Linked DNA regions of Xenopus tropicalis. The protein of the gene in region 1 binds, or shares a complex with, the protein of each later gene. Links are inferred from orthologs where the notes say so. Each region holds a gene or a part of one and is shown in the gene's direction. Other genes may lie near its edges.

Region 1 (7,395 bases):
TTATACCTATTCTAACTATAGTGCCATACCATATATCCTTATCATTCCTCGCTATATAGCTCTGTCCAGATTCCCTGTCTCTGTATTGGGATTCTGCGAAGTACAGTTCCATGTTACACAGGTATGGGACCCATTATCCAGAATGCTCGGGACCTGGGGTTTTCCGGATAAGGGTTCTTTCCGTAATTTGGATCTACTACCTTAAGGGCTCTGGCACACGGGGAGATTAGTCGCCCGCGACAAATCTCCCCGAACTACCATCCCACACATGTAAGTCGCCGGTGGGATGGTACACGCTGCGCAGACGATTTTAGCAAATCGCCGAAGTTGCCTCACGAGGCATTTTCGTTGATTTGCAGAAATCGTGCCACCGCGTGTGCCATCACACCGGCGACTTACATGTTCGCCGGTGGGATGGCAACTCGGGGAGATTAGCCGCCCGCGAACAGGGAGATTTGTCGCGGGCGACTAATCTCCCCGTGTGCCAGAGCCCTTAAGGTAGTAGATCCAAATTACGGAAAGAACTGTAATTTGCGAATTAAATGATTTAAACAGTAAACACAATAGGATTGTTTTGTCTCCAATAAGGATTAATTATATCTTCTTTGGGATCAAGTACAAGGTACTGTTTTATTATTAGAGAGAAAAAGAAAATCATTTTAAAATGTTTATTATTTGATTAAAATGTAGTCTACGGCAGATGGCCTTTTCGTAATTTGGAACTTACTGGATAATGGGTTTCCGGATAAGGAGTCCGATACCTGTACAGTTTTTCTATCAATATAATTTTGCTGTATGTGCCATTATTCCTAGTCTGTATGTATAGTTTTATTACTGTACCCTAGATGAATGTTCTAAGTCGTTGTATAGCTGCAGGGTACAATCCCTATTATACAGTCACTGAGGGCTTTTCCTTTCTATCGGAAGGATGGCTGCCAATCATGGAAGTTCATTTATTTATTTTTTTTATGCTGGGAACTCATTGACTCATCTGTTTCTATGTGTTGGACCCACAGGGAAGTGTTCAAGGCCAAACATCGACAGACGGGGAAGAAAGTGGCACTTAAAAAAGTTCTGATGGAAAACGAGAAGGAAGGGGTAGGTACTAATGCTGTGGTCTGCATGTAACAAGACCCTTTTATACCATTCTGTTTAGTATTTTTATAGTGAATAATGCACCCCCATAGTAAAATAAAAGGATATTTTAAGTCACAGAGGAGTTCCATGGCCATATAAAGGACCCAGTGATTTTATACAGGTCATGAAACTCTAAGGCGGTGATCCCCAACCAGCTGTTTATGAGCCACATGTTGCTCCCCAACCCCTTGGATGTTGCTCCCAGTGGCCTCAAAGTAGGTGCTCATTTTTGAATTTCTGGCTTGGAGGCAAGTTTTGGTTGCTTAAAAACCCAATGTAAAGCCACAGTCCACATAGGGGCTACCAAAAAGCCAATTATAGCTCTTATTTGCACCCCTAGGACCTTTTTCCATGCTTGTGTTGCTCCCCAACACTTTTTCCATTTGAATGTGGCTCATGGGTATAAAAGGTTGGGGATCCCTGCTCTAAGGTAATGTCTAATATTCTCATATTTTACAACAGGGAGGTCCATTAATTATAATACCCAAGTAATGTGACGGGTATAACATCACTAAAAGCCAATTATAGCTGATGGCATCACTAAGCACCATTTATAAGGATATAGTTTATTATTTAATTATGGCACATGTGTGTCTCTAACTACATCTATCTAATGAAATCATGTTCTTTTTCTCAGTTTCCTATCACGGCTCTGCGAGAGATAAAAATCCTGCAGCTGCTGAAACACGAGAACGTAGTTAACCTCATAGAGATCTGTCGGACAAAAAGTAAGAAACATTTTGTGTCTCTCTCACTTTGTGCTGCATGTGCTGTGTTGGGGGGTTGCAGCTTGGGTGGTGGCTTTTACAGCCAAAGACACACACAGCATGGTTGTTGTGAATGTCCTGCCCCTTAGACTCCCTATCTCTGTCTGGCTCTGTCTTTCTTATCCTGCTTCAATTGAAAACCAAGCCAATGCCATACACATTGCATGGAAGCTGCAGCATCTCCTCTGCCAGGTGTAGAACAACCCAGTCCTTAAACCCAGTGACCCAGTCCTTCAACACAGTTTAGGTGGTGTTGGAGGGTTTCCAGTGGACTTGACAGTATTGGCTTATAAGCAATTTGACTGGGAGGGGAGTGTAGGGAACCTTGCTAAAGCAGATCACTCTATTTGTCAGGGGCTGACTTTGCGCCCTTTTGGTATATCAGTCATACTCTATTGCTACCCCTGCTGCCATAAGTCTAAATAGCAGTGCAGTGAGCTTTGCTATATATATGCATCGCATTGTTTTGGGGTAGACTCTTGCTCAATAAATTTGGTTACCTCTCTATGGCCCTTTAAAAGAAATATGTTCCTGGCAGGGGAGAGTGGGGTATAAAAGTGGAACCTAGCAAGACCAAATTATTTTTGGAACTATGTAGAATGCTAAGGCATAAACTCATAGCCAGAGTTGTGCCACAGTGCCTGCATTTGGTATGAGGGTCCCTGATGGACACATTTGGTCCTGCTTGGTGTCTGCCCTTTGTAAATGTGCAACTGTTGTGCTTATGCTGCTTTTGTGGGGCCGTGCTCTAGACTCTCTTGCCCACCTAGTTTCTCCCACAGCCAACCAGTACAATAGATGCAAAGGAACTATTTTCCTGGTGTTCGACTTTTGTGAGCATGATCTAGCAGGCTTGCTGAGCAATGCTCATGTCAAGTTCACGCTCTCCGAGATCAAGAAGGTAATGCAAATGCTGCTCAACGGCCTCTACTACATTCACCGGAACAAGGTGAGCAAGTGCTCCATTCTCTTCCCATCCTGGGCATTTACTGTTCTTGTAGGACCTGTGTCTAATGGACTCATGCCCACAGATCCTGCACAGAGACATGAAGGCAGCAAACGTACTGATCACCAGGGACGGAGTGTTGAAACTTGCAGACTTTGGGCTTGCCAGAGCATTCAGCCTTGCCAAGAACAGCCAGCCAAACAAGTACACCAATCGCGTGGTTACGCTCTGGTATCGGCCCCCTGAGCTACTCCTAGGTAAGGACGGTCATGTGGTTATATGCACTAATAAAGTCTGAATCCCCCAAAAAGGGAAGCTGTCGGGTCATAACATTCATGTCTGATGGAAGCCATAATAATAGTCTTTGCAATTGATCCAGCTCTGATGCAGGATATACTGTTAGCTAATGTATATCTTAAAGGGGACTTTAACTTTTAGCATGTTTATAGCAGCTTTTCAGTAGGTCTTCATTTTTTATTTATTGTTTTTGCTTTCCCCTTCTGACTCAGCTTTCACATGGGGGTCACTGACCCCAGTAGCCAAAAAACTATTGCTCTCTGAGGCAACAAATTTATTATTGTTGTTACTTTTTATTATCTTTCTAGTTAGGACCCCCTTTATTCATATTCCTGTCTCTTTCAAACCTTTGCCTGGTTGCTAGGTTAAATTGGGTCCTAGCAACCCAATAGCTGCTGAAATTCCAACTTGAAGAGCAACTGAACAAAAAAAACTAACACAAATGAAAAAACAAAAGTCAATTTGCAAATTGTTTCAAAATAGCACTCTGCATTAAATTAAAAGTTAATTTAAAGATGAACTACCCCTTTAAACAGTGTGGATAATATTTTTCCCATTTTCTGCTTGTAGGAGAGCGTGATTATGGTCCTCCCATTGATTTGTGGGGAGCAGGGTGCATCATGGCTGAGATGTGGACCAGAAGCCCCATTATGCAGGGGAATACGGAGCAGCATCAGCTAACACTCATCAGCCAATTATGCGGTTCCATCACACCAGAGGTGAGTTTTAATGAATTGCTCTGGTCCAGGATCATATCTAGGACTAAGTGGTCTCATTGGTCGTGGGATAACTAAACTAAAAAAAAGCAATTTACATTAATTATGTTTTATTCAGTTTCAGAGCTATTTAAGTATTTAAAGTTTTTAACTGCCAATAATGAATTTTTTAACAATGCTGTCACCTGCTGGTTGGTTCCTGTAACTGTTGTATTCTGATGTTGCTCTGCTTAGGAAAGAGATCAGAACCCTTAGATATCTGTAAATCTAATTAAACACCTAAACCGGATAGTTTATTTTATTAATATATTTTAGGTCTGGCCAAATGTGGACAAATATGAGTTGTACCAGAAGCTGGAACTGCCCAAAGGCCAGAAAAGAAAGGTGAAGGAAAGGTTAAAGGCTTATGTGAAAGATCTCTATGCACTGGACCTTATAGACAAGCTGTTGGTTTTGGACCCGGCTCAGAGAATCGACAGTGATGACGCCCTGAATCATGATTTCTTCTGGTCTGACCCGATGCCTTCTGATCTGAAGAACATGCTCTCTACTCACAATCAGTCCATGTTTGAATACTTGGCACCTCCTAGGAGAAGAGGCGGGCACATGCCCCAACAGCCAGCCAATCAGGCACGGAATCCTGCTGCCACAAACCAATCAGAATTTGACAGAGTCTTTTAAAGACATTCTTTATTATTTATTGGGAGGAAAAAAAAGACTTTTTTTAAAAATATATATATATTTTTTTTAATTCCTTTGTAAGTAAGCCTGTATAGTATGGGGAATAAGGACTAGCTGCATACTTTTGTTAGCATAATGATATTCAGAAGCGTGGCATTCGTGAAACAAAACTTTTAACTGTGATACTTAATCTAAAACTCTTGCTACCATGCTGATACACACTGGTCAGTGAATCGAAAGTTTTCCGAACAGCTTTCTGTGCTGCTGTACCTATGTACTTGATAGGGAATGTAAATAAAGTTTTATGTTCTCCTATTATTTTATGGCTTTCTTTCTTGCCATTTTAAATTATTATTAACATTTATTTATAAAGCACCAACATATTCCGCAGCGCTGTAAATAATCTGTTATTTCCATGGAACATAGGTTGTGTTCTCCACCAGTGTTTTTCAGCCAGCACATGCTGGCCATGCTGTTTTATTGGGAAATACAGGTAAAGTTTGAATAAATCATGGGCCCGGATTCTCCAGGCAGACACTGACTAGTGATGAGTGATAACATGCTGCCTACCCTGTTTCCACATTTTGGGGGATGGCCATTTTATGTATAAAACATACATTGGTTTGCTAAGTGGCCTAGTCCCTGCCCATAAATTGCTTCTACAGATATTCAGCCAATCAACTAATCATGTGATCCAATTGTTACTGAGTGGGCTACAGTTGAAACAGGGTCATCCATTGATAAGAATTGCCATGTTTGTGTATAAGGCCAGTTTGTACATATATTTGACTGGACGACTAGATATTCCAGAATGCTTTGGGCCTTTCCTAGTGGGGGCTAAGATTTATTATACCCCAGTTCTTCTGTCCCAAAACACTGGAGCACATTTAAAAACGCTGTGCAATATCCAGTAGAAACCAATCACAAATTAAACAATGAAAAGCAAATATGCAATTGGTTGACATGGGATACTGCCCACGTACAAATTTACCTAGTGTTGATAAATGAGCCTCCCTTACTATCCCGCGTACATAAGTACCTGGGCTGTAAGGCATAACAACCAATCTGTGATTAGTGTTCTACCCCCTCCCTCACTACAATTCAAGAGCCTGTTGCCTGTTTTTCATGTGCTTGGGCCCTTACACACAAGCATTCCAGTAATGGGTTCAGTTAACCATCAAACGCAGGTGAGACTCAACTGCATTTAGTGGCTCAGAGCAGCCCTGTAAGTACAACCTGCATATAAAATGTGCAGGGGTTGTTCACCTTTTATATTAACTTAGTATGTTGTACAGAATGCTATTCAGAGACAATTTGCAATTGGTCTTTATTTTTTTATGTGTGGTTTTTGAATTATTTGGCATTATATTCAGTCTCGAGTTTGGAATTTTAGCAGCTATATGGTTTGCTTGGGTCCACATTACCCTAGCAACCAGGCAGTGGTTCAAATGAGAGACTGGAATATGAATAGGAGTGGGTCTGAATATAAAGATAAGTAATAAAATGTAACAACAACTACAATTGTAGCCTCAAGGAGCAATAGTTGGGGTCAGCGTCCCCATTTGAAAGCTGGAAAGAGAAGCGGAAAACAATTTAAAAAATGATAAACAACGAAGACCAATCGAAAAGCTGCTAAGAACTGGCCATTTTGTAACATACTAAAAGTTAACTTAAAGGTTAACAACCCCCTTAACTCCTGTGTTCCCAGGCAGCGGAATGCATAGAGTGCCTGTGGGACCTTTTGAGCTACAGATGTGCTTGCAGTTAACTGATTTCATTCTGTCTAATCATACCCATAAATGCGTGAGCTGTCGTGCATGTTATTAAAGGGGTGGTCCTTTTACATTTCCAGCAGATTAACACACAAATGCTGATCTTGTTATACTGTGGAAATCATACCTTGGTCAGACATTCTTACTTGTGTGGTTTAACAACTGCAAAGATGGGATTACAGAGATCCTGTTGGTTTTTCTGAATGCGTTTATAGTACATGTGCTGCTGTAACAGAATTCTCAGGGACAATCGGTGGTCAAAAGGCAGCTACTAGCACCAGCTTCTTATGGCAGCTACTAAAATAGACTCTGCTGATTATTTACTGATAATTGTCTCTATGTGTGTTTTAACAGAGGCAATTCTCAGTATTGTCTATGGCAGGGTATTTTCAGGTGTTTAGTGCCGTAAAAAAGTAGCTGCTACTAGTAGGCTCTTATGTGTCATCACGCTAAGACCCACATAGCGAGTTATTAGCACACAATAGATCACTGGTACTGCAGGCATCTCCTTGCCTGCAGGAGAACCTTTGTGTAACTTCAGAAAGCTGAAGCAATGCCTCAGCCTTTCCACCGGTGAGTCATATTTTTGCCGGTGGAAAGGCATTTCATAGCAGTTAGTCGCCCACGGTCACAGCAATCTATTGCGGGCAACTAACTGACTCCATCGGTCCTTAGCCTAAAGGCTGGGGTGACAAAGTTTCCCCAAACATCAATATAGTTTGTATTGTACATGTAGTTGCCACTGCACTGGTGGCTTCAGGATCACAGGGTGATGGTAGAATTGTTAACCTGTATAGATACCTCAGGAACAATGTGGGCGTTGGATGGGGGAAAGAGAACCAATTCAGTCTTAGAGAGGTTTAATTTAAGGTAATGTTGGGACATCCAAGTGGAAGAACACATAAAGGGGAAGAACAACATTCTGGCAGATCATCTAAGCAGAACTATATTCAGACCAGGGGAGTGGTCTCTGGATCAACAGATATTTCTAAAGATTACGAGACACTGGGGACTCCCAGTTATAGACTTTATGGCAACCAGAAGAACCAGAAGTTAAAGACATTTTGTTCCCTAACAGA
Region 2 (7,647 bases), on another chromosome or scaffold:
CAGTTGTTATTTGTGACATTAATTCTCTGCATACAGCGTCTTTGTTTTCCATTTTATATAATAAATTGACGTAAGCAATGGAGACAAAATAAGTATTAATCTCCCCATTTCTTACAGTAAGTCATAAAAATTTGTTGATTCTAGAATCTTCGGCTTCTGCTACAAAAAAGATAAAACAGTAATGTAGATGAAACTACAAGATTTTGTAGATAATGGATGATAAGTTTGCTCTGACTTCACCCTGAAATCGCCATACCTTAGGAAGGTTAAAATTTAAGAGGAGATCGCTATGTACAAGATGTAGGGTTGCATTTCTAAGCCTACTTACAGTTTTTACACTTTGCCCATATTCAATTAACCATTTCCTTAAATAAGTGTATTACCTGCAGCAGATGGTTTTGCGGTCTTATTACTTTTTCTGTATATGCTTTTGATACCCAATTTCTGCTTGATTATTGCAGAATTAACTCATGAATTTCTTCAGATCTTAGAGAAAACTCCTAATCGCCTGAAACGAATCAGAAATTGGAGGGTAAGTTTTTTGGGACAGTTCTCCAATCACAAGTGTGTCAAACCAATACACTATTAAACCCTTAAAGGGTAGACCGTTAGACCTTTTTGATAAAGCTTACTTAGTTTTTACCTTTCCTTCTCCTTTAAATTCAGTCCACGGATATTGTTTAAGGGTAGACGACATTTGCCATAAAAAGGGCCCTGTGCAGAAACCATGCCCTCTTACATCACAATCTCCTCTAATACTTCCTCTCTGAGCATCCTTTTTGTGCACTTGTCCAATTGAGGTTTGGCATGGTGCCAAGAGACTGGCGGATTGCTAATGTGGTGCCGTTATTTAAAAAGGGATCCCGTTCTCAGCCTGAAAACTATAGGCCTGTTAGTCTGACATCAGTAGTAGGAAAACTTTTGGAAGGGGTAATAAGGGATAGGGTACTTGAATACATTGCAGTTCACAATACTATTAGTTTGTGCCAGCATGGTTTTATGCGTAACAGATCTTGCCAGACTAATTTAGTCGCCTTTTATGAGGAGGTGAGCAGGAACCTCGATGCTGGAATGGCAGTTGATGTCATCTACTTGGACTTTGCTAAAGCGTTTGATACAGTACCTCACAGAAGGTTAATGATCAAATTAAGGAATATTGGCCTAGAACATAATATTTGTAATTGGATAGAGAACTGGCTGAAGGATAGAGTACAAAGAGTGGTGGTAAATGGAACATTTTCTAATTGGACCAGTGTGGTTAGTGGAGTACCGCAGGGGTCAGTCCTTGGGCCTTTGCTTTTTAACTTGTTTATTAATGACCTGGAGGTGGGCATAGACAGTACTGTTTCTATTTTTGCTGATGACACTAAATTGTGCAAAACTATAAGTTCCATGCAGGATGCTGCTGCTTTGCAGAGCGATTTGACAAAATTAGATAACTGGGCAGCAAACTGGAAAATGAGGTTCAATGTTGATAAGTGCAAAGTTATGCACTTTGGTAGAAATAATATAAATGCGAACTATCTACTGAATGGTAGTGTGTTGGGGGTTTCCTTAATGGAGAAGGATCTAGGGGTTTTTGTTGATAACAAGTTGTCTAATGCCAGGCAGTGTCATTCTGTGGCTACTAAAGCAAATAAAGTGCTGTCTTGTATAAAAAAGGGCATTGACTCAAGGGATGAGAACATAATTTTGCCCCTTTATAGGTCCCTGGTAAGGCCTCACCTTGAGTATGCAGTGCAGTTTTGGGCTCCAGTCCTTAAGAAGGATATTAATGAGCTGGAGAGAGTGCAGAGACGTGCAACTAAACTGGTTAAGGGGATGGAAGATTTTAACTATGAGGTGAGACTGTCAAGGTTGGGGTTGTTTTCTCTGGAAAAGAGGCACTTGCGAGGGGACATGATTACTCTGTACAAGTACATTAGAGGGGATTATAGGCAGTTGGGGGATGTTCTTTTTTCCCATAAAAACAATCAACGCACCAGAGGTCACCCCTTTAGATTAGAGGAAAGGAGCTTCCATTTGAAGCAGCGTAGGTGGTTTTTCACGGTGAGGGCAGTGAGGTTATGGAATGCCCTTCCTAGTGATGTAGTAATGGCAGATTCTGTTAATGCCTTTAAGAGGGGCCTGGATGAGTTCTTGATCAATCAGAATATCCAAGGCTATTGTGATACTAATATCTACAGTTAGTACTAGTGGTTGTATTTATAGTGTATGTATGTGAGTGTATAGATTGGTAGGTGTGGGTTAAGTGTGCTGGGTTTACTTGGATGGGTTGAACTTGATGGACACTGGTCTTTTTTCAACTCTATGTAACTATGTAACTATGTAATGTCAGGTTGACCGGGTTTTCATCCTATTCAGACTCTCCTCTCCTTTAGACATTCTACAGACCTCTGTTTTATATGATAATAGTAAGGTTCCATCTAATTGTTTTCAGACTAGTGAATACGAGGACCCATACTACAAAACCTACTAGATCAGCAGTAGGTTGAATTAAACTGCCCACATGGGTCTGTTCAATAGATGAGATTGCTAAATGAGCAGACCTTGACTTGATGGGACCACCCAGGTCAAAGGCAAAACTGATCTATAATATGGCCAAAAAGCTTGCTATTCTGTTCCAAATCATCAATTGACTAAGATGTAAATCATGAAAACTTTTTCAGTATGGTAATATGTCACAATGAGTCTCCTTTATACTTTTGATCTCTTTATTATCCAGTTGCATTAAATGACCCATACATTTCATAATACACTATAAAGGGGTTCTGTAGTTAAAACTGGCATATGCCAGATGTGCAAAATTATTTTGCCGAGTTTATCCCATTGACTTCAATGAGTTACACCAGGTCTGGGATGACGTTTTATAAATATGATTTGATGATTATGAGTTATCCAGTATTCTAGCTGAAAGGCACATGAAATAGTGCCCTGAGGTCAACTGGGAAGCACAGGACAGCACCAGAAGCAGTAGAAATGCAGTAAAGATTTCCAGAGTAAATTCATCTTTAAAGGAGAAGGAAAGGCTAAGTCACTGGAAGGTGCCAGAATGTTAGGCACCCCCAGTGACTTAAAGGAACAGTAACACCAAAAAATGAAAGTGTATAAAAGTAACTAAAATATAATGTGCGGCTGCCCTGCACTGGTAAAAGTTGTGCGTATACTTCAAAAAGTCTACTATAATTTATATAAATAAGCTGCTATGTAGCCATGGAGGCAGCCATTCAAAGGAGAAAAGGCACAGGCACATAGCAGATAACAGATAAAACACTATTGTATTCTACAGAACTTATCTGTTATCTGCTGTGTAACCTGTGCCTTTTCTCCTTTTTTCCAGCTTGAATGGCTGCCCCCGTGGCTACACAGCAGCTTATTATATAAATTATAGTAGTGTTACTGTAGCAAACACACCAGTTTTACCAGTGCAGGGCAACAGTGCATTATATATTTATTACTTTAAAGCTCTTTAATTTTTTAGTGTTACTGTTCCTTTAATCGCTTTCCTTTTACCCCAGGCTGGTGCTCCTGTGAGAAGACCTCCGCACCAGCCCGGGGTACCTATGAGCGAGTGTTTCCTCGTCCTTCTGTTTTTGCGCACTTGCGCAGTAGAGTGAAAAGCCGAACTTAAACAAACTGCAGGTACTCCGGGCTGATGCGGTTTTCTCCTAACAGGAACACCAGCCCAGGGTAAAATGTAAGCGATTAAAGTCACTACCTTTCCTTCTCCTTTCAGAGCTATGACAAAGATTTTTAAACATGCCAACTATTTTTCCTCCAAATGTTACTCCAGTTCTTAAACATAAAAGATTTTACATTGCTTTATAAATACAGCCCTAACCTCTTTTCTTTTGAAAAAAACACATACACCTCTTTCTTTTGTTTGTTAATATTGAAAACATGTTTCTTCTTAAAGAAAGCATTAAGAGCATTATCTAACATTTGAATTTATTTGGCTTTTTTATTTTTTACTAAGCCGTTTTTTAGTTTATGGCAGGAGATGTTAAATAGCACTTTTGTATTTGCAGATTAGTCAGGCTAACCAAACCAGGAAACCTAAAGACGATGAATGTCAAGAAGAGTCTGAGGATAATAGCTTTTCTGAAGAGACAATTCTTCGAATGTTCTCTCATAGTGGAATGTTAAATACTGATTCCCTTTCTGATTCATCATCTCAGCCACTTTCGGTTACAAAAAATGATGGGGGAATGTCGGAAGGGCAGTGGGGGTGTCAGCTACAGAGCCAGCGGGATCAGCATAGAACTGGCGAGCTTATAACATCTGCAGAACAGTCACAAACACTCGGTTCCAAACCAGTGGCACTTGCTAAAATGTCTCTGAAGGAGTACCGAGCAAAGCATGCAGAGGAATTGGCAGCACAAAAACGCCAGCTGGAGCAATTGGGTGCCAGCCTAAAAGAGCAATACGCTTCTGCTGCTCAGAACCTGTTAATACAGCAGCAGAAAGAACGTGAAAAAGAGGCCCATGCCTCTCCTATTATCCTTAAGATTCCATTGCATGAAGTAAGCCACAAACGCTCTGAGAAATCTTCCAGCCTCAAGCTTCGGCTCCCTGTTACTAACCGGGAGAAATCGGAGGAGGGAAAAATACGGATTAAGTTGCCAAATGAGGACAGCAGCAAGAGTAGAGATAAGCACAGAAGTAGTACATCTTCACATCACCATCACAATAACCAGTCACATCGTCAACACCACCAAGATCCATCTGGAAATAACAGCAGCAAACGTTCTTTACCTCCCCCGGTATTTTCGACACACAAATCATCATCAAATTCCCGAAAACGTACTACCACAGAGGAAACCGCAGGACACGATCCCCCTTCTCACAAAGTCAGCAGGACCTCCAAAGCTTCCACACAGGAACCTGCTGTTCCACACTCATTAAACAGAGTGAGAGGTAAACCAGAAAGGGAATCTTCGGGAACCAATGGTCACAGCGTCAATAAAGTAATTGATTATCAGGACACAGTGAACATGTTACATTCACTTCTTAGTGCACAGGGAGTACAACCCATGCAGCCCCCTCAGTATTTAAATCCATTTGGGGATTTTCGCAGGACACGGCCTGGTAACACTGATGATTCCAGAGCTCCCCCACTTCCTGCTGAGCCACCCCCCCCTCTTCCGCCACTGCCAAAGTGATATAAGTTTTAAACCTATTGTTTTAATGTCTAGAAAGGTGAATTAATTTCCCTGCATTGTCTGAACTATCCTAACCAGCACGCTCTCTTTCTTTTGCTCTTCCATTTTTTATACCAAACTATTCCTTGTGGTTTTGTTCCTTCCTAAACAGTCTTACCCTATTGTGTTTCCCTAATTTTTTGCATGTCTTAAATGAAATGATGTCACTTTCTAGGACTTCAATCACTCACTTCTCTGTCATGTTATATTTTGTTTGTGTTGGTGTTATTTCTATCAAACGGGTCATAGTTTTAAAAATGTACTATAAGAAAGCAATTGAGAAATGTTACAAAAGTGTTGATACTAAGCTTTTTGCAAGCTGAAAGTTACAGGTACATTATATTTATAGTGTTATCTGACTATTTTTATTATGCTTTATTCTTCCTTTTAACTGTCAGTATCAAACTTTCATCTCATTTATCTATGAATGGAGATTGTTTGTTTTTTCCTCTGGTGGAAGTCTTATTTATAGCTAATTTTAGGCTAGGGCAACAAGGTTGCAGTGTAGTCGCTGACCCAAGTATGTTGGTCAGCCAGGGTGTCCAACTGTAACTGTGCTGTGTTTGGTAGGCATCCCTGGATATTAGCACTCAAAGGCAGCTAAATGAGAGCCTCTCAGAAAACTCTGCCTGCAGTATTCCATGGCAAGTATGTCAGCTGACATCCACAGACATCCTACCATAGAGGAACCTATAGAGCTCTCCTAAAGAAAGTCTTGGCCCAGGCCTTACTTTGCCAGTCAGTTTGATAATCATTTGTATAATTGTTTGATTAAATCACAATTTAAAGGAGAAGGAAAGGCATTTTAATGCCGATAGATTAGCCACATCAGTGCCACCTAGAAAGCTATATTTATTCTGCAAAAACCTTTACCATACCTGAGTAAACAGCCCTAGAATCTCCATCTGTTTGCTTAAGACAGCAGCTGCCAGTCTCAGGAAGTGTTGCAGCTTTAGCAGTTGGTAGCTCACAGATCTCACATTCTCATGAGAAGGGGAGTGAATTCTTTTGGGAGGTGGAGTAGGAGAAGGGAGAGAGGAGAGAGCTGCCTGCTTATGGTTGTATTTACATAGACCTTTCTGATAAAGCTTACTTAGTTATTACCTTTCCTTCTCCTTTAAATAAGCTTTTTATCCCAATTACTTAGATGCTTACGATATATTGCCCACTTACACCACAGTTTTTTTATAGAATTTTTTTAAAGCAATGTTAAATGGGAAATAGCACTGGAAATTGTTAGTCAAATACATTATTTCCTCCTTTAATGCCCTGGGCACATGTAGAGTTTATGTTGTTCCTTTGCTTAGTGTTTCATAGGTGAATTTTGTCACTGCTAGTCTGGTGAGTAGCATTCATTAACCTGCATTCACTTGCCTGCTGGTAAAAATGGTTATGACCAAATGGCTGTTACCATTTGCTTGTGTGACTGTCTACAAAGGGTTTATAGTCTGCAGAGCAGATATATGTGCATGTAACTTCCTATGAAGTGGCAATTCTTGTTGATAGTAGGAATCAAGAACGGCTCACAAGCCATTTTCAGAGACACTCACCTATGTGCCTTACTGTTTGGGCTATATGTACATTCTGGTTTAATTGTCTTCTAAAGTGTAAGAGCAACTCTCAAGTTACATTATTTAACATTGGCTGCTTACACTACTGCAATAGTGAGGAATATTTCTTACATTTTTGTGATCATAAACAGCACATACCATTTGTAATATCTAAGTTTTGGTGATCTGAATGCTGTGTGTATAATATTGTTTCTGTGTAATTTTTCATCCAGCCCTTTGAGCAGTGAATTGTTATTCAGATACCTGAAAAATGCCTAAAGGGAGGCATTTTCTTGTTTTTACCAACAAATCTAGATTATTGAGATCAAGAATTAGCCTTTGTTTGACAGTGTTTCTTAGGTTCCTCTAACTTGTTTTATCTTAAGAGGGGAATGCTTGCAATTACAGCTGAACTCACAGCATCAGTCCAATAAGAAAAGTTTTAGGCCAATGACACACAGGGCATTATGTCACCAGACGTGACTGTTCTGTGAGTGTTCAAAACATACCTTTCTATTTTGGATCATGGAAGTCACATGCTCTGAACAAGTCCAATTTTAATAAAATGCAGAATAAAGCATTTCCGTGCTAATATGTGATTGGACTGGTTTGGAACAGTGAACCGCAATACAAAGGTATATTCTCCCATTTTGTCACCTATGCCACAAAATTCACTCAGTACCATTGCACTTAGGGGATGCATTCGTTATATCAGTTTGCAGGCCTTCTGAGACTTTGGTCTTGGGGTTACTTATGTGCAAATTGCTAATATAATTTATTTCAGCTGTAGGGATTTGGACTGCAAGATAACATTTTCTTCTTATGGTTCTGTATTACATGGAATAGTAGATGCTTCTTACATGTCAGTATGACAGACTTGAATATCAATTAAAATC
Region 3 (7,647 bases), on another chromosome or scaffold:
CCCCCAAGTGACTTAGCCTTTCCTTGTCCTTTACCTATACAGTTATAAAGCATAGTAACTGTACAAAACTGTACACATTTACAGCAATGTATCACAACTCAAATTATGCTTTTACCATAGCTCTCTCTGTTTAAGGTTTTTATATTAACTTCTTGGTTACTAATTACACAAAATACTGTTATGTGCCTCAACTGAATTAAACTAAATTTATTCTACAGAAAAAAGTTCTAATTAAGGCCTTTGTCTTCTGTACAATCAGGGTTCAACACCTCCCATGACGGTATTTAAAGGAAACAAACGGCCTTACCAAAAGGATTGTGTGCTGATCATTAACCACGACACAGGGGAATATGTGCTGGAAAAACTGAGCAGCAGCATTCAAGTAAAGAAAACCAGGTATAGCTAATTTAAGGCACTCACCAGAATTATTCTGAGGCATTATTGTTTTCAGCTCTGGTAGTGTAGCATAAAAGAAAAACCACCAAAGGTTTTCTTTGATTGCAGTATTTAAATTAGTAAAGTGTTAAGTTAATGACCACCAAACAGAAAGCAAAGTTAATATGGGTATAGCTTAAGAGACAGCAGGGCTATTTAAGGGATGGGATCTGTTCTGCAGAATGTTTGGACATAGGGTTTTACAGATATGGGGCTACTGTATTCCTCATAAATAGAAGCTATACTCAGTGTTTTCCCTGAATTCTAGTTTTTTACATTATACAAGTATGGGACCTTTTATCCAGAATTTTGAGCCTTCTGGATCAGCTAACTGATCCCATACCTACCCTAATGTGCACAGGATTTTTAACTCCTTAAAGGAGAACTAAAACCTAAAAAGGAATAGGGCTATAGTTTATATACTGAACCAAGTTAAGCTTAGGGGTTGTTGCAAATTATCAAGCAGAAAATTAGGTTTTCCTGTAATATTGTAAGGGCCTGCTCAGCTCTGGTGTGTGTAACTTTGCCAGGGGCTATTGGATGCATTGTATGCCCCTTATAGTACATCTACTGGACATGCATTAGAATCATACATGAAACAAGCTTTTGCTGAAAAGCATAAATAATTATAAAAAACAGGGGAGGCAGAAAGGGGACAAAGTAAGTGATAAGGGAAAAAGATCTGTTAAAAGAGTCCATTGAACTGTTTGGGACAGGACTGGGCTGGAAGAATGTCGGGCCCGCCATCAACCCACAACACTCCGGAGGGGCAGTTAGTTGAGCCAAACATGCCTGACTCTCGGGTTAATATAATGTTTAAATGTTGTGTTTTTTTGTTTTTTTTTGTATAAGGTATGATGATCCAGAGTACAGAAAGACTCATTATGTGGAAAACTCCAGGTCCCACATATTCCAGATAGTAGATACCATACCTGTACAGAAATAATTGTCACAAAATAGGATATGTATGCTATCCTTATTGGTAGGAAAATGGACACAAATGCTTTCTTTTACTTTTCAGAGCTGAGGGCAGCAGTAAGATCCAAGCTCGTATAGAACAGCAGTCTGCCCGTGCTTCACAACCAACATCTCAGTTTAAGGCACCTTCCAAAGTAGCTGCTGGGCCTAAAACATCTCCATTAAAAGATCATCCTTCTCCTGAACCACAGCTTGATGACATTAAAAGAGGTGAGTGGAACCACTAGTCTTGTCAATTTTACTTTGTCCCTGTACACATACCTGTCAATATTCTCAAACAAAAAGTTTAGACATTTTAGGCACACTGTGATTCACCCAAATCCATTCTAATGCCATGATAAATATGTTTAATAAACCACCCTTTGATAAATATTTTTCCACACATCTGTTGTGATTGTATACTTCACTTTAAGTAGGCATGCAGAAGGCACAAACTAGGGGAGAGGATATTGAGGAGAGATAGATTGTGTTTTATATTTATTAAGACTTCTCGCCAGAACTCCCGAATCAGGGGGCATTTGTGTACCTATTTTTTAACATAGCAGTTATACTGGAATACAATGCTATAGGGAAAAAATGAAGTTATGAAAAACATTTACTCTTATTTTCTTTTGGAATTATTAAAATCTAATGCAACATTAAAGGGTAAATAAACCTTAAAACAAAAGTTTCTAAACACTTTTGCAATTTACATTTTCGTTTCAGAGCTATTTAGGAAGTGACGTAAACTGAGAAAAAAAACTTCTGTTTTCCTTTTGAAGGTGTGTCTATTTGACTGTACAGTTACAGAAACTGTACGGTTACAAAATTCCTTTTATTGGGAGTTGAATACCTAAAATAGCTGTAAACTGGAAAAAATAAATTATATAAATTGCAAAAATAAAATGTAAAGTTTACTTAACCTTTAAGTTAATATCACACTATATAAGATACATATCCCTATTAGGGTTGTGGTAATGGGCCATGGGGTTCCATATCCCCAAAATAACCGGGCCTCCGGCCCTCTTTATCCCACCCCTGATCCTACTGATTCCTGCCCATACCATATGAAGCCCCAACCCTTTTGCAACCAACTGGGGACCTATGTGATTCCTGTTGGTCCCTCTGATGGTGGCTCTGGTCTCCTTTATGGCCAAGGAACACAGCTGAGATTATCTAGAATCACTCATTAATGTCTATAAGGTTTTCATTCGTCCAGGTCATGATATACAGGATCTAGGGAACAGCACCTGAACTTGTTGTGTAATCTATAAAGAGTTTCACCACCCAGCAGAGCAGCTTCTACATTTTAATTAAGTGGTAGAGATTTCCCTGGTATTTTTAACCCTTAAAGAGAAAATTATAGATTGCCTTTTTGACATCTGGTTGGGAAATTGTTCTTATGAGTAACACAGATTTTTGGATCCCATTAGTGGGCTCCCTCAGCCCCTCCCACCAGTATATAATGCATAATGTTTTTCCCTGATTTTACATTTTCTTGAATTTTAACTCAATTTTTTGTGGTCCCCTGAAAAATGTAAAACTGGAGTTCTACTGTAGGACTTACTGCTAGTATATCCATTTGTAGTAAGGAGTAATCTGATTAAATGGAACATCCAACATTCTTTTCCAAATGTGGTTTATACTTTGTTATTATTATAATTTCTTCCCTGACCCCAAAGCTGAAGACAGCCCATAGATCTCCATAGTTCGTATGCAGTGCTTGCCAACAAGCACAAACAACCTCTACATGGGATACCACATGGGCAATTTCCTCATGTAATACTATAGAAGATGAAAGAGCAAACAGAAGCCTTCTCCTCTCTCTAGGTGCTCATCTTTTCCCATTTGTTAAAGTTTCCCTGCCACTGGCATAACCAGAGGCTCTAAAAATCAGCTCTAAAAATCATGCAGTGGTTATGAGAAAATGTGGTGCATGAACTGTACTGAACATGAGCCTGTGCATCTTCCCATAGAACTGAGGGCAGAGGTAGAGATTATAGAGCAGATGAGCAGCAGCGGCAGCAGTTCTTCTGAATCTGGGAGCTCCTCTGGGAGTGACGATGACAGCTCTAGCAGCGCTGGAGAAGAAGAGACACAAGAATCTCCATCTCAACAGCTGCCACCTCAACAATATAACAGCAGGATACCTGTTTCTAATGGCAGCAGTAGGCCACAAGGAACAAATCAGCTAATGAACACACTCAGTGAGTATTACATGCTGAGTTCAGTTCATGTTGTATATGGTTGTGTTTCCAGGAAAACCTTTTCAAAATAACCTTTCAACCATAAAGATGTATGTTTCTATCATAAAGGTTTTGTAGTTAAATAGAATCATTCATCATTGACATTTTGCTCATTTTAAACAGTCCCAAGGGCACTCTTCCTCTCCTGTGAAAGAAGTGCTAAGAAAATACACATAGTATGCTGCTTCAGAGGGTTGCAAAACTCCTTTAATGCTGGTAAATGGAATACTGGACAAGTACTCATAGCAAATGTTTGACTATTAATTGTAGCTACAAGGTATCCGCAATAGAAGACAAAGATAATGTTACCTATACAAGAAGCAAGACCTATAACAAAGCCTTGTGCTCTGGGTTAGAGCTTTACTCCAACAGAAAAGTGCTTTGCCTCACTAACTCTGATGATGTTATCATTGTATCATGAACCTGAGGCCATCCTGGCATGTATTTATGAACACTACTTTGCAAAAAATACAATAGTGTAACAGCTAATTTTCTCTGATCTGTTTATTGTTATCATTTGCTAAAATAGAGATTAAAATGCATTAACTGACTTTTTATACCTGTTTTTTTCTTCTCCAGGAAATGACCTTCAGTTAAGTGAATCGGGAAGTGACAGTGACGACTAAAGGACATATCTCCATTCATTATGTATACATGTAATATTATGTATGTATATAAATGCACAAAAGCACCAAACAAGCCAGGGGCTAAAATGACACAGCGGCTGTGAAGTTTGGATAGGGTGTTACTAGGATGCTTGGAGATGCAGTTCATGGACTGGAGAGTGAGAGATTATTTGCTCCTTTTTCAAATTTTCTCATAATGCAGGACATATATGTATAGCTGTTACCTGCAAACTTAGATCTCCAAAGGGTTTAATTGTTACTTATTTGCAGTAGTAAGTAATCTGAGATTAGTATTGGCACTTTGGTACTGGCATCAGTGTGGTATGTGTGCCATTACCCATTGGGGTCATTTATGAAGTTTGCGCAGCACAGAATTATTCGCACAGTGAACATTTTTGCCACACCCATATTTATATTTATAAAGCTGGACAAGGCAGGTGCATTTAATGTGCAAACATAATTGCAAATTTTTATTCACAGTGCAAATGTCCTTTTAAAAGCTTTTTAAATATGGCATATTTGCAAATTGAGTATTTATGTGCACACTCTGCTTCCAAGTTACGCCACAACTTTGGTAGCGGAAGAAATATTTGCTAAACTGATTTCACAAATTGCGAATTTGTATTCCTAAAGTTAAAATCGGAGCTATATTTGAGCTCAATAAACACAAAAAAGGACATGCTCATACAAGCCACAATCTCATTTGTGAATGTTTGTGCACACAACGCATTTAACTGCAATTCGCAAAAAAAAAAAAAAGCCAGGCACAGCAGTGCAAAATTTTAGCATTTAGGGAAAAACATGCACAAAACAACCATTTGCAAAAATAAAAATGTGCTGCACAAATTTTATAAATGACCTCCAGTGACTTCTAGCCATCAGAGATATAAGTAGACCTCATGCTGGTTTTTCTCCCAATAATTTATTAATATTAGTGAATAGACATAGCCTGCAGTTACATTCTCATAGCATGCTGTAAGCATCAGAAATAGTGATGAAAAATGGCAGCTGAGAGTGTACTCTGATCTGTCCATGTCATGTACCAGCACAAAGGCACACAGTAATCACTGACTGGCATTAGTACAGTCAACTATCACCTTCAGCTACAGAACGATAACAAGGCAGACCTACAAATGTGGAACTACAGCTCCCAGGACTTCTAAATGGAGTTTAGCTGTGAAGTATAGAACTGTAGTTCATTTGAAGGATCACTGGTTACCTAGCAGATAAATTGCATAGATTTAGATTACAGCAATTATTGTGCTTCTCTTATGTATGCACACATATTTACATCCAAAAAGATACAGGGATGTAAATTAGCTCTCGATAATGTACCTAGTATGTATGAATGTAATAAGGACTTAGATTGTAAGCTCCACTGGTGCAGGAACTGTTGTGAATTATACATGTTCGCAATGTAAAGTGCTCTTTATGGTGTAGTTCACCATGTTTTTCCCAATGCAGTTTCTCAGCATAATTGTGCAAAATTGTATGCGTGTCCCTAGGTATACGCTTAGTGGCAGAGGTGTAAAACGTGCTGATGATGCAGAAGTTGTGCTCCGTATATTTGGGGCAACATGCAGGCAGGCACCCCTTAATTGCATGCTATTTAGGGTGTGCAATGCACAACAGTAACCCTGTACTTAAAGCCTGGGCAATGAGAAGTGTAAAGTACAGGGCTCCCATGCCAATGTGCCTTGTTCCTGGTTCACACTGCTGGGTTAAAGGTGAGCATTTGCGCTAGGCCAATTGTTTTCCATACAACATTTTAATTTGTGCATAATTGACTCTGATATTAGGGTCTTGCATTTCCTTCTTTTTGTTTCACTCATTTCACACATACCATCATTTTTATGAGTTAATTTCAAACCAAGGTGCCATCTGCCAGTAAGTCTGTATGTCCTTCCCTGTCTGTATGCTTTACCTCTGTTTTTTTCCCGCATTCCAGTAATTACATCACTGACACAGGCAGGTTAGTTTGTCTGTGTTTATTGAGTGAATGTAAATAGTTAAATCAGAGTGTAAGCTTCTGCTTGGGCAGGGAGTGATGTGAATCATTAACAATCTCTGCAGTGTAAAATATGATGCAATAACGTTACCCATTCCTTTTATCCTTTCCTCTGTTTTATTTCCTTGTTCCTCTTTTTTTTTTTTCCCCACCATGATATATTATTTTTAAGCTATGTTTTATCCCATGCTAGTGATAAGGGTCTTTTGGGATGATCTAGTCTGTAGGCCCACATGTTAAATTATGGGATCTCATATGAAATAAATCAGCTGATGAGCTATAACAAGGACAGTCCTTTTTTTCATTTTCTGTTTTGGTAGACTTTCTGTGATCCAGTCTCAAATCTGTCTACCAGAGTACCCACATGAGTTTGTGGCTAGAACCTTTTTTTTTATTGCAACACTTTGCCTTATATAATTGGAACTGCATTCCCTTTTGGCAAAGAAGTATGATTAGAAAATGTTGCAAACTGAAGGCAATTTCCCACTGATGTCTTGGCCAACTTGTAGCTTAACTCGTGTCCCAACATGTGTGTGTGTATCTCTGTACTGAAGTTATACTAATTTCATTATTTATGCTGGTTTTAAGAAGCTTACATTTTATTTGTGAGTTTGGCATAAGATTATATGCCTTCATGTATTTTGGTAATAATAATAATACATTTAATTATTGGCTAAAATTTTACATTCTTACATGAACATTTATATTTTATTTTATGTAAGGCTTTTGTATATATATTTTATCTTCAAAATAAAGTAATAGTGCATTTTGTATTTGCCTTTTCATTGTTTATTGAGACAGTATTCTAGTTCACATTTTCTATGTCGCTACCCTGCTCTAAACATAAAGTTTAATTCAGGGGTCCTCCAAACTTTTTAAGCAGTAGGCCAGTTCATGGTCCCTCAGACTGTTGGGGGGGGCGGAATAAATTCCTCCCCCCTGTGTCCTCATACTATGGCCCGCTCCCCGCTGCGTCCTCCTGCTCCCTCCGGTTCCCCACTGCATCCTCGCGTCAGATCATAGTGGGGGCCAGGTAAATTACCTTGGAGGGGGGCGTATTTGGGCCGCGGGCCGCATAGTTTGAGGATGCCTGCACCGCAAGAACCTGAAAACATAGATTTAATAAAGTATTGATCTTGTTTAATTTTTATAGGTTCCTGATGTGGAACCTGCTTTTTTGGATTTGTTTAAATACAGCCTAGAGGATTTTTTTGTTCGGGGAGGCTGCCAACAAATGGCTTTCCATGGCAGAGTATCTGTATACTTTTAAAAATCCAAAAAGTAGGAGAAAAAAGCTTCAGCAGATTTACTGCAAACCATTTATTGTGGGTAGTGGTAACACAACATGTTTCGAGTCAATACCCTTTATCAAGTG
Region 4 (8,148 bases), on another chromosome or scaffold:
AGTGTGAGACACAGGAGAGAGAGTATGGGGGTAACGGAACGGGGTTGGAGAACAGACGGGGGCAGGAGGAAACAGACAGGGAATCGGGGGGTGCAGGTAGAAAACAGAACAAGGGAATGGGGGCGGCAGGTAACAACAGACAAGGGAATGGGGGGCAGGTAGGAAACATACAGGGAAGTGGGGGGCAGGTAGAAACACACGGGGAATGGGGGGGGCAGGTGAGAAACAGACAAGGGAATGGGGCCGGAAAGACAGGGAAGGGGGCAGGTAGAAACAGACAGGGGAATGGGCGGGGCAGGGTAGAAACAGACAGGGGAATGGGGGGCAGGTAGAAACAGACAAGGGAATGGGGGGCAGGTAGAAACAGACAGGGGACAGGTAGAAACAGACAGGGAATGGGGGGCAGGTAGAAACAGACAGGGGAATGGGGGCAGCAGGTAGAAACAGACAAGGGAATGGGGGGCAGGTAGAAACAGACGGGGAATGGGGGGCAGGTAGAAACAGGGGGGCAGGTAGAAACAGACAGGGGAAGGGGGCAGGTAGAAACAGACAGGGAATGGGGGGCAGGTAGAAACAGACAGGGAATGGGGGGCAGGTAGAAACAGACAGGGGAATGGGGGGCAGGTAGAAACAGACAGGGGAATGGGGGGGCAGGTAGAAACAGACAGGGGAATGGGGGCAGGTAGAAACAGACAGGGGAATGGGGGGCAGGTAGAAACAGACAGGGGAATGGGGGCAGGTAGAAACAGACAGGGGAATGGGGGGCAGGTAGAAACAGACAGGGGAATGGGGGCAGGTAGAAACAGACAGGGAATGGGGGGCAGGTAGAAACAGACAGGGGAATGGGGGCAGGTAGAAACAGACAAGGGAATGGGGGGCAGGTAGAAACAGACAGGGGAATGGGGGGGCAGGTAGAAACAGACAGGGGATGGGGGGCAGGTAGAAACAGACGGGAAGGGGGCAGGTAGAAACAGACAAGGGAATGGGGGGCAGGTAGAAAACAGACAGGGGAATGGGGGGGCAGGTAGAAACAGACAGGGGAATGGGGGGCAGGTTAGAAAACAGACAGGGAATGGGGGCCAAAAGGATGTAGAAAAGACAAAGGAATGGGGGGCAGTAGAAACAGACCAAGGGAATGGGGGGCAAGGTAGAAACAGACAAGGGAATGGGGGGCAGGTAGAAACAGACAGGGAATGGGGGGCAGGTAGAAACAGACAAGGGAATGGGGGGGCAGGTAGAAACAGACAGGGGAATGGGGGGGCAGGTAGAAACAGACAGGGAATGGGGGGCAGGTAGAAACAGACAGGGGAATGGGGGGCAGGTAGAAACAGACAGGGGAATGGGGGGCAGGTAGAAACAGACAGGGGAATGGGGGGCAGGTAGAAACAGACCAGGGGAATGGGGGGCAGGTAGAAACAGACAGGGGAATGGGGGGCAGGTAGAAACAGACAAGGGAATGGGGGGCAGGTAGAAACAGACAGGGGAATGGGGGCAGGTAGAAACAGACAAGGGAATGGGGCAGGTAGAACAGACAGGGGAATGGGGGGCAGGTAGAAACAGACAAGGGAATGGGGGGCAGGTAGAAACAGACAGGGGAATGGGGGGCAGGTAGAAACAGACAGGGGAATGGGGGGCAGGTAGAAAAGCAGGACAAGGGGAATGGGGGGCAGGTAGAAACAGACAGGGGAATGGGGGGGCAGGTAGAAACAGGGGATGGGGGGCAGTAGAAACAGACAAGGGAATGGGGGGCAGGTAGAAACAGACAGGGAATGGGGGGCAGGGTAGAAACAGACATGGGGAATGGGGGGCAGGTAGAAACAGACAGGGGAATGGGGGGGCAGGTAGAAACAGACAAGGGAATGGGGGGCAGGTAGAAACAGACAGGGGAATGGGGGGCAGGTAGAAACAGACAGGGGAATGGGGGCAGGTAGAAACAGACAAGGGAATGGGGGGCAGGTAGAAACAGACAAGGGAATGGGGGGCAGGTAGAAACAGACAGGGGAATGGGGGGGGCAGGTAGAAACAGACAGGGGAATGGGGGGCAGGTAGAAACAGACAAGGGAATGGGGCAGGTAGAAAACAAGGGAATGGGGGGCAGGTAGAAACAGACAGGGGAATGGGGGGCAGGTAGAAACAGACAGGGAATGGGGGCAGGTAGAAACAGACAGGGGAATGGGGGGCAGGTAGAAACAGACAGGAATGGGGGGGCAGTAGAAACAGACAGGGGAATGGGGGGCAGGTAGAAACAGACAAGGGGAATGGGGGGGCAGGTAGAAACAGACAGGGGAATGGGGGGCAGGTAGAAACAGACAAGGGAATGGGGGGCAGGTAGAAACAGACAGGGGAATGGGGGGCAGGTAGAAACAGACAGGGGGAATGGGGGCAGGTAGAAACAGACAGGGGAAATGGGGGGGCAGGTAGAAACAGACAAGGGAAGGGGGGCAGGTAGAAACAGACAGGGGAATGGGGGGCAGGTAGAAACAGACAGGGGAATGGGGGGCAGGTAGAAACAGACAGGGGAATGGGGGGCAGGTAGAAAACAGACAGGGGAATGGGGGGCAGGTAGAAACAGACAGGGGAATGGGGGGCAGGTAGAAACAGACAGGGGAATGGGGGGCAGGTAGAAACAGACAAGGGGTCGGAGTCAAAAGAAGGGACAGGAACAGAATGGAGATTGGGAGAGGGGGGGGCAGTTGCCGGAGAGGGGGGGGGCAGTGCCGGAGAGGGGGGGGGGGCAGTGCCGGAGAGGGGGGGGGCAGTGCCGGAGAGGGGGGGGGCAGTGCCGGAGAGGGGGGGGGCAGTGCCGGAGAGGGGGGGGGCAGTGCCAGAGGGGGGGGGGCAGTGCCGGAGGGGGGGGCAGTGCCGGAGAGGGGGGGGCAGTGCCGGAGAGGGGGGGCAGTGCCGGAGAGGGGGGGCAGTGCCGGAGAGGGGGGCAGTGCTGGAGAGGATTTGGGGCCAAAGGGAAGAGTCTGTGCTCTGATAGAGGTTTAGGAGGCTTATGACCCTTCTAGTGGAACTACAAATCCCAGCAGTGAGAGGCCATAGGCTGCCCAGACTGAGGTGCAGAGAATGGGGAGGGGCATATGAGTTTGTCAGTATCTATAATAGAATATACAGGGCCTGGGGCAGTGTGTGTAGGTACCTGTGTGTGTGGGTAGGTATGTAGCTCTGTGTGTGTGTGTGGGTAGGTAGGTAGCTCTGTGTGTGTGTGTGTGTGTGTGTGTGTGTGTGGGTAGGTATATAAGTAGGTAGGTAGCTCTGTGTGTAAGTGTGGGTAGGTAGGTATATAACTAGGTAGATAAGTCTAAGACTACGAGGCTTCCGGACGGGACGCATTCCCACAGACACACAAAGTCCCAATGAAGAATCACCTTCCGGTGCCGCGCCTCACACAGCCCGCTCGCTCAGCATTTCTCTCTAACGGGGCGGGTTGCCTAGCAACCCTACGCTACTCCAATCAGGCTCCTCACTAGTCAAGGCCCGGACCGCAATGCTTGCCGGGTACACCGACGCCACTCAGTTCCTGCGTCATTACTTGTGGGCGGGACTTAGTTTCCTACATGCGGACTGACCATTGATTGCCGGTATCTCTCTCGGGGGGGAGGGGCAAAGTCTTAATCTGAACTCTGTTCGCTCAATCAGCGTCTGTATAGCACTCAACAACCAATAGGAAGGCGCTCCGGTTGCTGGCTCCGCCCCCGGCTGGCAGGCTGAGTTGGGAGCCCCAGGCTGGTTCGGGGCAGAGGCTGGGGAGTTGGAGGTGCCCGGGGGTCGGCACGATGAATGGCGCTGCCTGCCCGCTGTTTGATACCAAGGAGAGGCCATTGGTGCTGGGGGAGAGCTTCGAGAAGCAGCCCAGGAGCGGGTACCACACAATCCGCTGTGAGTGGCCCTGTCAGTAATGTCCCCTGAGGGGCCCCTGCTTCTCCCTCATACCTGGGAAAGTGTCTCTCGTCTGACTCTTACTGTGGCCCTAGGGCCCCTGGGATCCTCTTCTCTCTTCCTTTATTCCTGGGCCCTTGGGCCACTTCTCTGACCCTCTTAGTGTGGCCCCTGGGGCCCCTTTCCTGTTAGTATTACCCTGTGGCCCCTGTGCCTTCTCTATAACACTGTAAGCTTGGGCCCTGGGGCCCCTTTCCTGTTAGTATTACCCTGTGGCCCCTGTGCCTTCTCTATAACACTCTAAGCTTGGGCCCTGGGGCCCCTTTCCTGTTAGTATTACCCTGTGGCCCCTGTGCCTTCTCTATAACACTCTAAGCTTGGGCCCTGGGGCCCCTTTCCTGTTAGTATTACCCTGTGGCCCCTGTGCCTTCTCTATAACACTCTAAGCTTGGGCCCTGGGGCCCCTTTCCTGTTAGTATTACCCTGTGGCCCCTGTGCCTTCTCTATAACACTCTAAGCTTGGGCCCTGGGGCCCCTTTCCTGTTAGTATTACCCTGTGGCCCCTGTGCCTTCTCTATAACACTCTAAGCTTGGGCCCTGGGGCCCCTTTCCTGTTAGTATTACCCTGTGGCCCCTGTGCCTTCTCTATAACACTTCAAGCTTGGGCCCTGGGGCCCCTTTCCCCTTTCCTGTTAGTATTACCCTGTGGCCCCTGTGCCTTCTCTATACACTTCAAGCTTGGCCCCGGGGCCCCTTTCCCCTTTCCTGTTAGTATTACCCTGTGGCCCCTGTGCCTTCTCTATAACACTCTAAGCTTGGGCCCCGGGGCCCCTTTCCCCTTTCCTGTTAGTATTACCCTGTGGCCCCTGTGCCTTCTCTATAACACTTTAAGCTTGGGCCCCGGGGCCCCTTTCCTGTTAGTATTACCCTGTGGCCCCTGTGCCTTCTCTATAACACTTCAAGCTTGGGCCCTGGGGCCCCTTTCTCCTTGCCTGTTAGTATTACCCTGTGGCCCCTGTGCCTTCTCTATAACACTTCAAGCTTGGGCCCCGGGGCCCCTTTCCCCTTTCCTGTTAGTATTACCCTGTGGCCCCTGTGCCTTCTCTATAACACTCTAAGCTTGGGCCCCGGGGCCCCTTTCCCCTTTCCTGTTAGTATTACCCTGTGGCCCCTGTGCCTTCTCTATAACACTTTAAGCTTGGGCCCCGGGGCCCCTTTCCTGTTAGTATTACCCTGTGGCCCCTGTGCCTTCTCTATAACACTTTAAGCTTGGGCCCTGGGGCCCCTTTCTCCTTGCCTGTTAGTATTACCCTGTGGCCCCTGTGCCCACATGTCTCTTGTCTGTCTCTCTGAGACAGCTGGGGTTATCCCTATTAGTGTGGCTCTATGGGCCCCTTTTGTTCCCAGTTACAGGGTGGAACCTGGGGGGGCACCAACTCTAGACCAATGCCCCCCCCCCATCAGTGTTCCGTGCCCAACTCCAGCCCCCGGGCAGTAACTTGTTCACTTGTGGGCAGAGCCATATGCCCCTGTACCCTATTTGTATCCTGCCCTGCCCCCATAAGTGCCATTCCCTATCCTGTTTCCCTATCTAATAATGAACTACAACTCCCACAATCCTCTAACAGAGTCATTCAAGGGCCGTGTCCCACCCTCTGCTTTTCTGATGGGAAGTGGCCCCTGGGCTGCACGTAGCTGCCTGTAACCCTGGTTTCACCGCCCTCGAGCTTTCAACGCTTCGTTGACCCCAAGGAAACAGCTGTGGGTTTGAGGTGCCCGGGGCGCCAAATTGAAATGAGTGTGCAGCCTGGCGCTACCCAAAATAGCCGTATTCATAGTGAGAGGGGATTTACTAAATATGGGCTCGAGCCGTGACACCGAGCTGTGAGGTTTGTCCTGTGGCTCTGCTGTCAGGTGTGCGGAGTCGCGTCTAGCAGCTGTTCCTTCCCTTCCTACCTGTGTCCTATCAGTCACCCAGAGCATTCCTTCTCTGTATATTTGTATTTATACATATGGGTAGGGGGTGCCATAGTGTTTCCCTTAGACAGTACAGTATGGGGGTACAGCTTATTGTGTGCCCAGAACATTCCTTCTCTGTATATTTGTATTTATACATATGGGTAGGGGGTGCCATAGTGTTTCCCTTAGACAGTACAGTATGGGGGTACAGCTTATTGTGTGCCCAGAACATTCCTTCTCTGTGTATTTGTATTTATACATATGGGTAGGGGGTGCCATAGTGTTTCCCTTAGACAGTACAGTATGGGGGTACAGCTTATTGTGTGCCCAGAACATTCCTTCCCTGTATATTTGTATTTATACATATGGGTAGGGGGTGCCATAGTGTTTCCCTTAGACAGTACAGTATGGGGGTACAGCTTATTGTGTGCCCAGAACATTCCCTCTCTGTATATTTGTATTTATACATATGGGTAGGGGGTGCCATAGTGTTTCCCTTAGACAGTATGGGGGTACAGCTTATTGTGTGCCCAGAACATTCCCTCTCTGTATATTTGTATTTATACATATGGGTAGGAGGTGCCATAGTGTTTCCCTTAGACAGTACAGTATGGGGGTACAGCTTATTGTGTGCCCAGAACATTCCTTCTCTGTATATTTGTATTTATACATATGGGTAGGGGGTGCCATAGTGTTTCCCTTAGACAGTACAGTATGGGGGTACAGCTTATTGTGTGCCCAGAACATTCCTTCTCTGTATATTTGTATTTATACATATGGGTAGGGGGTGCCATAGTGTTTCCCTTAGACAGTACAGTATGGGGGTACAGCTTATTGTGTGCCCAGAACATTCCTTCTCTGTATATTTGTATTTATACATATGGGTAGGGGAGCCATAGTGTTTCCCTTAGACAGTACAGTATGGGGGTACAGCTTATTGTGTGCCCAGAACATTCCCTCTCTGTATATTTGTATTTATACATATGGGTAGGGGGTGCCATAGTGTTTCCCTTAGACAGTACAGTATGGGGGTACAGCTTATTGTGTGCCCAGAACATTCCCTCTCTGTATATTTGTATTTATACATATGGGAGGGAGGTGCCATAGTGTTTCCCTTAGACAGTACAGTATGGGGGTACAGCTTATTGTGTGCCCAGAACATTCCTTCTCTGTATATTTGTATTTATACATGTGGGTCAGACAGTCTGTAGGTTCTGGAGGCGGCTCACACAGTACCAGAGGCCGTGGGTGTGTTTGGGTGGGTAGGAATGCTCCGTGGATCAGACGCCTGACAGACTGGCTCTGCTGCCACGTGACTAGATATTATTATAGGATACGTGGTGCTTGGGGGTTAATGGGGCAACATGATAATGGATTGTCTGTTTTCCAGAATAAATCCAATTTTTCCACTTTAGCAGCTTTTATTGCCCGGCTTGGATACCACTATATATAGATTATTGCCCCCTGGGGGTGGGAGAGATTTGCCCCCTGTGCCCCAGTGTAACTGCTCTCCTCACACAGTATTTAGTATTATTGCCATTTCCACTCTTGGGGGGCTGCACTGCGCACCCCTCTCTATACTGTATATTCACTACATTCTTTGCAGATGATTTCAAGCCGGCGTCCATTGATACTTCCTGTGAGGGGAACCTGGAGGCGGGGAAAGGGGAACAGGTGACCATCACTCTGCCCAACATTGAGGTGAGTGTGACCAACTGGAAACTACAACTCCCAGAGTTCCCTGCCAGCCGTGGCACTAAATAACTTTATATTTGTCCTTTCAGGGTTCCACCACCCCAGTCACTGTGTTCAAAGGCTCCAAAAGGCCGTACCTAAGGGAATGTATCCTGATTGTGAATCACGACACCGGGGAGTGCCGGCTGGAGAAATTGAGCAGCAATATTAGTGTCAAAAAGACCAGGTACTGACACAAGCCCGATTCAGCAGGAACAGCCCCCTAAGTTTGCTCACAGCCTGTACAGAGAGATACCATAAAACTAATGCACATAGGGATTCCCCTGTACTAAGCACAATTCAGCAGGAACAGCCCCCTAAGTTTGCTCACAGCCTGTACAGAGAGATACCATAAAACTAATGCACATAGGGATTCCCCTGTACTAAGCACAATTCAGCAGGAACAGCCCCCTAAGTTTGCTCACAGCCTGTACAGAGAGATACCATAAAACTATGGCACATAGGGATTCCCCTGTACTAAGCACAATTCAGCAGGAACAGCCCCCTTAGTTTGCGCATAACCTGTACAGAGAGATACCATAAAACTATGGCACATAGGGATTCCCCTGTACT

The links.
Region 2: the proteins of cdk9 (region 1) and ccnt1 are in contact, whole or in part, in a crystal structure (PDB 3BLH), measured with the Homo sapiens proteins. The link is inferred for Xenopus tropicalis from reciprocal best matches to the Homo sapiens genes CDK9 and CCNT1. Residues at the interface, in NP_001252.1 of Homo sapiens: Val8, Glu9, Cys10, Pro11, Phe12, Cys13, Lys56, Glu57, Gly58, Phe59, Ile61, Leu64, Ile67, Lys68, Gln71, Leu72, Leu81, Ile82, Glu83, Ile84, Arg86, Ile99; in NP_001231.2 of Homo sapiens: Arg5, Lys6, Arg11, Trp12, Arg26, Ile72, Gln73, Phe78, Phe89, Leu90, Lys93, Val94, Pro98, Lys99, Lys100, Leu101, Val134, Glu137, Ile139, Leu141, Gln142, Thr143, Gly145, Phe146, Glu147, Leu148, Thr149.
Region 3: cdk9 (region 1) and eaf1 share a complex: the UniProt entries of both Homo sapiens proteins name them as parts of the super elongation complex. The link is inferred for Xenopus tropicalis from reciprocal best matches to the Homo sapiens genes CDK9 and EAF1.
Region 4: cdk9 (region 1) and eaf2 share a complex: the UniProt entries of both Homo sapiens proteins name them as parts of the super elongation complex. The link is inferred for Xenopus tropicalis from reciprocal best matches to the Homo sapiens genes CDK9 and EAF2.

What each region holds. Positions count from the first base shown.
Region 1 is NC_030684.2:24,557,237-24,564,631, reverse strand, and holds the end of cdk9 (cyclin-dependent kinase 9), read left to right. Parts: intron 1-1,016; coding exon 1,017-1,098; intron 1,099-1,774; coding exon 1,775-1,865; intron 1,866-2,656; coding exon of another isoform or gene 2,657-2,674; coding exon 2,675-2,853; intron 2,854-2,935; coding exon 2,936-3,107; intron 3,108-3,717; coding exon 3,718-3,866; intron 3,867-4,178; coding exon 4,179-4,544; 3' UTR 4,545-4,860; downstream 4,861-7,395. UniProt on the Homo sapiens protein: Protein kinase involved in the regulation of transcription.
Region 2 is NC_030678.2:135,677,783-135,685,429, reverse strand, and holds part of ccnt1 (cyclin-T1), read left to right. Parts: intron 1-461; coding exon 462-532; intron 533-4,028; coding exon 4,029-5,162; 3' UTR 5,163-7,647. UniProt on the Homo sapiens protein: Regulatory subunit of the cyclin-dependent kinase pair (CDK9/cyclin-T1) complex, also called positive transcription elongation factor B (P-TEFb), which facilitates the transition from abortive to productive elongation by phosphorylating the CTD (C-terminal domain) of the large subunit of RNA polymerase II (RNA Pol II).
Region 3 is NC_030682.2:51,491,647-51,499,293, reverse strand, and holds the end of eaf1 (ELL-associated factor 1), read left to right. Parts: intron 1-259; coding exon 260-396; intron 397-1,456; coding exon 1,457-1,623; intron 1,624-3,368; coding exon 3,369-3,599; coding exon of another isoform or gene 3,600-3,670; exon of another isoform or gene 3,671-4,175; intron 4,176-4,217; coding exon 4,218-4,264; 3' UTR 4,265-7,043; downstream 7,044-7,647. UniProt on the Homo sapiens protein: Acts as a transcriptional transactivator of ELL and ELL2 elongation activities.
Region 4 is NC_030685.2:88,577,171-88,585,318, forward strand, and holds the start of eaf2 (ELL-associated factor 2), read left to right. Parts: upstream 1-3,670; 5' UTR 3,671-3,779; coding exon 3,780-3,882; intron 3,883-7,447; coding exon 7,448-7,542; intron 7,543-7,625; coding exon 7,626-7,762; intron 7,763-8,148. UniProt on the Homo sapiens protein: Acts as a transcriptional transactivator of TCEA1 elongation activity. Acts as a transcriptional transactivator of ELL and ELL2 elongation activities. Potent inducer of apoptosis in prostatic and non-prostatic cell lines.